Lonchura striata: one gene and its partner. The protein of the gene in region 1 interacts with the protein of each later gene in a pairwise test. Links are inferred from orthologs where the notes say so. Each region holds a gene or a part of one and is shown on either strand. Other genes may lie near its edges.

What was found.
Region 2: the proteins of EFHC1 (region 1) and KCTD4 interact in binary tests that used the Homo sapiens proteins (3 or more experiments, as listed by UniProt). The two-hybrid records come from large-scale screens. The link is inferred for Lonchura striata from reciprocal best matches to the Homo sapiens genes EFHC1 and KCTD4.

The regions. Positions count from the first base shown.
Region 1 is NC_134605.1:110,378,473-110,382,398, forward strand, and holds the start of EFHC1 (EF-hand domain-containing protein 1), read left to right. Parts: upstream 1-1,349; coding exon 1,350-1,478; intron 1,479-3,926. UniProt on the Homo sapiens protein: Microtubule inner protein (MIP) part of the dynein-decorated doublet microtubules (DMTs) in cilia axoneme, which is required for motile cilia beating.
Region 2 is NC_134604.1:60,949,827-60,953,752, reverse strand, and holds the start of KCTD4 (BTB/POZ domain-containing protein KCTD4), read left to right. Parts: upstream 1-1,289; 5' UTR 1,290-1,476; coding exon 1,477-2,250; 3' UTR 2,251-3,926.

The DNA of each region.
Region 1 (3,926 bases):
GGGGATGATCCTTGGCACACATAGGTGAATTTCCTTCTCTGAGACAGGCCCTGTTCCCTGTTAAATGCTGCCTGGATATTGAAGCTTGAAAAATCAGAGGGCTTGATCAGGGTCCTGCTCCTGGGTCTAAGTCAGCCATCATCACACCAACAGCTTTGCTGTCCTCCAGATTCAACTCTTCAAGCCCTGCTTGGCCTTCAGTTCATTATTTTCCTTTCTAAGCTCATCAGCCTCATTCTTTATCTCCCACGTCTGGCTTTTTTCTCTCTCCCACACCATGCTTAGGCAGACAGTCTGGCTGCAATTCTCCCCGCTTAACTTCTGCTTAGAAAACCCTTGGATCTGCCACCTGCCCTTGAATCACAGCCTGGCTTGCCTGGTGTAGTGGTGATAAAGAGAAAAAAGCAAAGATGCACAAAAACCTTCTTTTTCATGGAATCCCAGAAGGTTTGGGTTGGAAGGGACATTCAGAATAATCTCATTCCAACCCTCTTGCCATGGGCAGGGTCACCTTCCACTAGACCAGGTTTCTCTCAAATCCTGTCCAGCCTGGCTCTGAATGCATCCAGGGGTGAGGAATCCACGTCTTTTGGGGAATCCACAACTTCTAAATGCAGCAGATAATTTCTGTTTCCCATGGTGATGGATTTAGCTGTTTTCTCTCTTACATTTAGGAGTCAAGTTTTGCACATCCACCTTTTCCTTGATGGTATCCTTGATGCTTCTTTTAGCCCCTTCCTCCAGAGATAAAAATCACATTTGAAAGAGAGGAATTACATCAGTGCTACATATGAAAAATACACTATTTCACAACTATATACATTTTAATACATGTATATATACATCATAAACTGGCACAATCACTCCTGTTAAAATATTTCAATCTCTCCAGGTATGGATTTGTCCCTTCAGAGCTGATCGTTACCCTGCACACTGCACACGGCAGGGAAAACTCCCCCAAAAGAAGCAGTCCAGGTGCCACCACCCGCAAAATGTTTTAATGTGAGGGGTTTATGAGGGGCCACGAGGGGGATATGCAAGTCTGTGAGTGGGATACGAGTGGACTATGAGGGGCTGTGAGGGGAAACTCCCTAATAAAACAGAATGAACGCTTTCCACGTCTTTTTTCCCCGCTCCGGGGCCGAACTCCCCTCACGGGTGGGGGGGGCGGTTCGGCCCCTCAGAGCCCTCCCCGTTGCCACGGCGACCGCGCGCCCTTGGCACTCACTGCGCAGGCGCGGGGAGACGCGGAGGCGCGAAGGGCGCTGCGCATGCGCACTGGGCGCGGGGCGGTTGCCGTGGAGACGCGTGGGCCAGGCCGGGCCCGGAGCGCCGCCGCCGCCGCCGCCATGAGCTCGGGGCCGGAGCCGGAGCTGGGGCCGGGGCCGGGGATACGGCCGGGGACAGGGACAGGGCCCCCGATCGGGCCCGGGCCTGGGCTGCCCTTCCTCCCCGGCTGCGCCATCAAGGACCCCACGGTGAGCGCGCCCGCCCACTGTACCCCCGCTGTGCCCGCTTCCCACGGGAGGCCTCCCGGATCAAGGTGGGCTGGCCTTGTGTGTGCCCCCTGAGGGGTGACCTCAGAAACGGGCTTCTGCACCTCCCTGCACCTGCTTCAGGTGGTACCTGGTATCCCCTGGTGACGCTCTCTGGGAATCTGGTATTCCCTCAGACTTTGCTCAAAATCCACAGAAGGCTTGGGACTCCTAAACTCAATGATATTCATAGAATCACAGAATGGTTTGGGTTAGAAGACCGTAAAGATCATCCCATTCCACCCCCTGCCATGGGCAGGGACACCTTCCACTATCCCAGGTTGCTCCAAGCCCTGTCCAACCTGACCTTGGACACTTCCAGTGATCCAGGGGCAGCCACAGCTTCTCTGGGAACCCTGTGCCAGGGACTTGACACCCTCACATGGAACAAATCCTTCCCAATATCCCATCTATCCCTACCCTGTTGGCAGTGGGAAGCCATTGCCCCTTGTCCTGTCCCTCCACGCCTTGTCTGAAGTCCCTCTCCAGCTCTCCTGGAGTTCCTTTGGACACCAAAACCAATTCTGCTGTCTGCAAACTCACCCCTTTAGATATTCAATTCCCTTGAATCTATCCAATAATTCCCCCACAGTTCATAACATACCCCAGGGGAAATCCCCAAACTCGCTTTACAATCTTGAAATCTGATTCCCTCAGGAAAAGCTGCTGTTTCTCTGAACCATCTGAGTTTTCCCAAAGTTCTCTGAACTGATACTGATTCTGATACTGTCCTGAACCAAGTTCCTTAAATTCACCTGATACCTCCTAAGATGGATATACCCAGGAGAACCAATATTGATCAAACCTTGAGCATTCCTCCACATGAATTAATCCCCTAGATCATCCCAATATGATTATGTCTTGGACATAATTTGTCTATTACATAGATACACCTTGAAGTCACCAGTCTCATTGGCAATGAACATCTTCCAAAGCTCTGATACTTCCAAAACTGCTCTCCTGGTGTTGCCTGGAGAACTGAATCCTTGGCAGTGCAGGTCTGGAACCTGATAACCTGATGAGAGAACTGGTATCCCACCACAGAACTGGTGTCATCACTGCTTCCAGGATCATCCCCAGGAAATTACACACTCTCAGCTGTTCCCAGGTTCCCTGGAAGAAGCAGTCTCATCCTCATCCTCATCCTCTGCAGCCGATACTAAAAAAGGAAGCAACCTCTCCTTTTCCCCATCCAATGGTCCAGGACCTGATAACCCAAATCCTCCCAATATCCTCTTGAGGAAGTGGTACTTCTACAGAGAACTGATGCTTCCATTTATTTCTTTGATATGCTAAAAAAATGCCCCCCAAAACAAAAATGAGTTGTTTCATGCCTGGTTTGGGCTTAACCAGGAATTTACAGCCTTCCTGGAGAGTATCTTTAACAGAAAACATTCCTGGCTGCATCCAGCTTTGTATATGAAAATTCATTGTCACAGAATCATGGAATGGTTTGGGTTGGAAGGGACCTTAAAGATCATCTTGTTCCAACCCTCTGCCATGAGCAGGGACACCTTCCACAAACCAGATTGCTGCAAGCCCATCCAACTTGGCCTAAAATCAGTGACAACTGAGTCCTCCAATAGTAAATAGAGTAAATTACTCATAACAAATAGCCATCCAGCAATAAAGGTTGTCTCAGAATTATTCTCAGATACTAATATTTCCTTGAAGTAATTTCTAACATCTTGGAAATCTGCAGTTTTCCAGTCCATAAAACTGGCATAACAATACTTGGTTTCATAGTGAATGCCGAGAAGTTCTGAAGGAAACCTCTGTGTTCAAGTAAAGTGGTGTTACAGCTTAGTGCTCACTGGACAGGGAAACAGACACTGGGAGAGGGAATGGTGTTTGTGTCAAGTGTTACAGACTTGGCAAAAAGAAGGACTTAATTTAGTGGAATTTCTTCAGATAAACACTGGCAACAACTGAGATTAGGAATTTACATTCTGGGTTTTCCCTTTTAAACTTTCATTAGTTACCTGATCCTGGAAGATGTTATCTGGCATACAGGCTCACTTTGGAAGAGCTTGTCCACTCAGGAGCCTTATGAACCAACGAGGTGCTTTCTTTAGGCAAATGTGGGCTCTTAAAAGCCTGCACACTTCTAACAAACACTGATATTGCTCAAATTAAAGACAAACTTCCTGGTTTTCCTTGAATATTTTCCCCACAGCTTTCCCTTGGTATTTATTTAAGAGAAGGAAGTGGCAGTTCTGTGGCAGTTTATAAGATGTTCTGCTAAAACATCTTCAGACAAATCTTGTTTTCACCTGTTTTCCTCACTGCTCTCTCCTTTGCAAGATCTATAGTAGCAGTTTAAAGAGAAAATGGGGAATTATGTGGAATTCAAGTGGGGCCTGAAGGTATAAATAAGATAAGAGGCTTAAC
Region 2 (3,926 bases), on another chromosome or scaffold:
GGATACACTAGGGATAGGATACCCTGGCAAGGAGAAGAGTTAGAGAAAACATTTATTTTCACTAGTCAGTTACCAAATAATAAAATAGTACAGTGATTACTCTGTGGTATCAATAAACAACCTTATAGACAGTGGGAGCAGTAGGAATAATATACTTAGAGCCGAAGAATTTACAGAAAAATAATCTGCCTTTCCACTGCTAGCAGGACACATCTATCTGTAAAGTGAAAAATACATCTGGAGGAAGATGGAACCTCCTCCTCTCCAGGTCTAACCCAAGGAAAGCCTTTGCTCCCACCTGTGCTGGGGAATGCGTGCAGTGGCTCCTATCTGTCCACTCCCCAAGGCAACACTCATAGAGATGTGTGGAGAGCTTCTCCTTTCCTGCTCCAAACTGCATACATTTAAAGGGGAAATCTTCTAAGAGGCAACTGGGAGGCTCAAAGTACAGGAGAGAAGACAGGCATTTGATTTCAGTGTGTTGTGCCGATGTCTCTGCCTCCCTCTACCCCAGTGTTGCTAAGCTATGGTGTTATGTGATGTTCAAAGCTATCTGTAGGCACACAAGCCCTTTGTTCCACAGGGCAGATGAGTTTCACTATTGAGAAAAAAGCAACTGATGCTAGACAGTCTTGGTGATTTAAAAACCATCATCAATATAAATGGTAAATCCTCAGTGTAAAACTGTTTTTGTCTATGGCATACAGGAAGGCAAGAAAGAAAACCTAATCAGGCTGCTGATCTTGTGATGGTGAGGATAGACCCTCTGACTGCAAATAAAAGCTTTTGCCACAAATCTGGAACAATCAGATCAAGTCCTTAGGACTACTTCCAGGGTATCTTCTGTGGAAACATTTTACTGCTGCACACATACCAAATAAATAAATGACATGCATATGCACACATTCCATAGATGATACCCCCCTTATACACACAGGGACACCTTTCATTTCTCTGTTGTCCTGCTGTATGCATCAGGTACTGTCATCAGTACTAAAAAACAACATGAAAAAACAGGCTTCATGAAAATAAAAATCCTTGAAACACAAATGAAGCTGTTTAACACCATAAGCACAAAATATGATTTGGCCAGCTGACACTACAAATACATCTTCAAGTATTAAAAATAAGTTGCCATTTAGTATAGCAGTACGTATTTCTGTGCAGAACACCCTAAGCTATGCAAACTACTTAGACTTAAGGGAAAGAAATAAAACAAACAGTTGTTATACGCTTCTTCCCTTACACAGTTAAATGCAAATTCTCTCTTACAGTCATATTCCTGCTATCTCCCTGCACACACAGCTGATACGCCACCTACTGCAAAGCCAAGCTGACAGTCGGAGCAATGCGAGCAGCATTTCTATTCCAACATCAAGCTGGAGCTGAATAAAGGTGCTTTTTAATAAGAAACATTCTCTTTGCAAGCTGACAAGAGCAAAGCAGGATAGCTGTATTGTTGTCCTAGCTTCAATAATGGAGAGAAAAGCAAGCAGGAGAGAAAATGAATGCGAAGAAAAAACCAGCAACTCTGAAAGCTCCGAGCTAGACAAGGACTATAAAACGTCTCTGATTACTCTGAATGTCGGTGGTTATCTATATATCACACAAAAACAGACACTAACCAAGTATCCAGATTCTTTTCTGGAGGGGATCATAAATGGAAGAATAATGTGCCCATTTGATGCAGATGGTCATTACTTCATAGACAGAGATGGACTCCTTTTCAGACACATCCTCAACTTCCTACGGAACGGAGAACTTCTTCTACCAGAGGGGTTTCGAGAAAATCAACTTTTGGCACAAGAAGCCGAATTCTTCCAGCTTAAGGTACTTTCAGAGGCAGTGAAAGCAAGGTGGGAGAAGGAACAGCTAGCATCCCGAGAGACTACTTTCCTGGAAATAACTGACAGCCACGACCGTTCACAAGGACTTAGAATCTTTTGTAATGCTCCTGAATTCATTGCAAAAATAAAATCCAGAATTGTACTGGTGTCCAAAAGCAGACTGGATGGATTTCCAGAGGAGTTTTCAGTATCTTCAAATATTATTCAATTCAAGTACTTCATAAAGTCTGAAAACGGTACACGACTGGTACTGAAGGAGGACAACACCTTTGTCTGCACCCTGGAAACTCTTAAATTTGAGGCTATAATGACAGCTTTAAAATGTGGATTTAGACTGCTGACCAGTCTGGACTGTTCAAGAGGGTCGATTGTTCACAGTGATGCACTGCATTTTATCAAGTAATCACAAAGGCAAAGGAAACGAGCACGCAGCCAGTAAACCTCCTTGAACTGCAGCCTCCTGGCATCACAAATAATGCATCTAACTAGCCCTGTACCACAGAGCTCAGCTGCTAATCAACTGATGTGAGCTAATGGTATGTAAATCTCATAATGACATCTATCTCTGGCTTACTTAAGCTGAATGAAAATTTTATGCCTGAATTTAACAAGAATTATCTGCTAACATTGTAAACACAGATGGACTGCTTTATGCTCTTTGCAATATGTTTTCTCAATGCTGTCTTTTAACCAGAGAGTCTAGCTGAATTTCTGTGTACCTATGTGATGAACATACATATACCTAACTGCTCTGCTCAACAGCAGTGAGAGTGTTTTCAGATAATAAGCAGGCTTAAAGTATGTATTGCTTATAACAAATTCAGAATGGATTTTAACTGGAATAAATTATTTTGACTGTTCATTATTGTTTATGGTAATGTATTGTATTGAATTTGCAAAAGTCAAGATTGCAGGAGAGTTTAAAATAACCAACTTAATTTTCAAGTTAAATGGTTTCTCAACTCACTTAACCCCAAATTTATACCACATTGCTATACTAATATTGCCAGAAACATGTAAACCAACAAAATAATGCTTGGGGAGATTAATTTTATTATAGGAATTGGGTTCAATCTGCACAGAATGTTAAATTTTCTAATCATACATACACATCAAATAGCTATTTGATAGTTATTTGATAGCATATCAAAAAGTATTTGACATTAAGTTTAGTGTGACAGGTTTCCAGTACTGGCATCCTACAATGCCACAATCAGTATTTCCTAGCAATCATTTGTGCTCCTAAGGACAGGCAATGAACAGAGCCCTTGCTTTGCACAGTGGCTTACGAAATGCAATGAGTACTATCAGTTCTGAACAGACTACCTGCTGGCATGAAACACTATTCACTCTAATTAATAGAATAAATATCTTTATTTTCCTCATCTCCACTATTTATAAAATCTTTTAATTGATATTTTAAACAGAGTTTTAATAGTTTCTATAGAACAACTGTAACTAATTTAAACCCAAGTCTTACAAACCAGCCACTTCACAAAAGCAAGCTGAAAAATCATCACAAAAGGCAAGAAGAAGCAGCACTAACTCTAAGCATTGTTTGTCATTTAAACCAATCTTCATTCACAGCTTATATGAACCCAAAATTCAAGTAAAATGCTTATAAAGAAAGAAAAAAACTAACTAAGTAGTCTCCCAAAGCATTGATTTTATAGAGGAAAAAAATAATGTCAACAAAAGGCAGTACAATCCATACTAGAAGTGACAACCAAGGAAAACAGCTAACAGAAGACAGGCTGAGAACAGCTGTGGTTTGGATTTTAGGGGGAACAAATCAATCTTTAGTATCAAGGGCTGAGAATACAAATTCAAGGTCCACTTATCCCTCAACATGAATCTCTTTTTCACTTTTAACATACAACAGGTATTCTTAACTAGGTCCCTTGCTAGAGGTGAATTAATGCAGGGATGCTACATCTCCAGACCAGGGAGCAGTAACTGAAACATATTCCAATATGATTTTATCAAATGAGGGGATTCAACCTCTCCATAATACTAATAATTTCTACGCAGTGTATTCATTCTGATGGAGTATTCTGGAGAGGTTACAGACTTACAGTT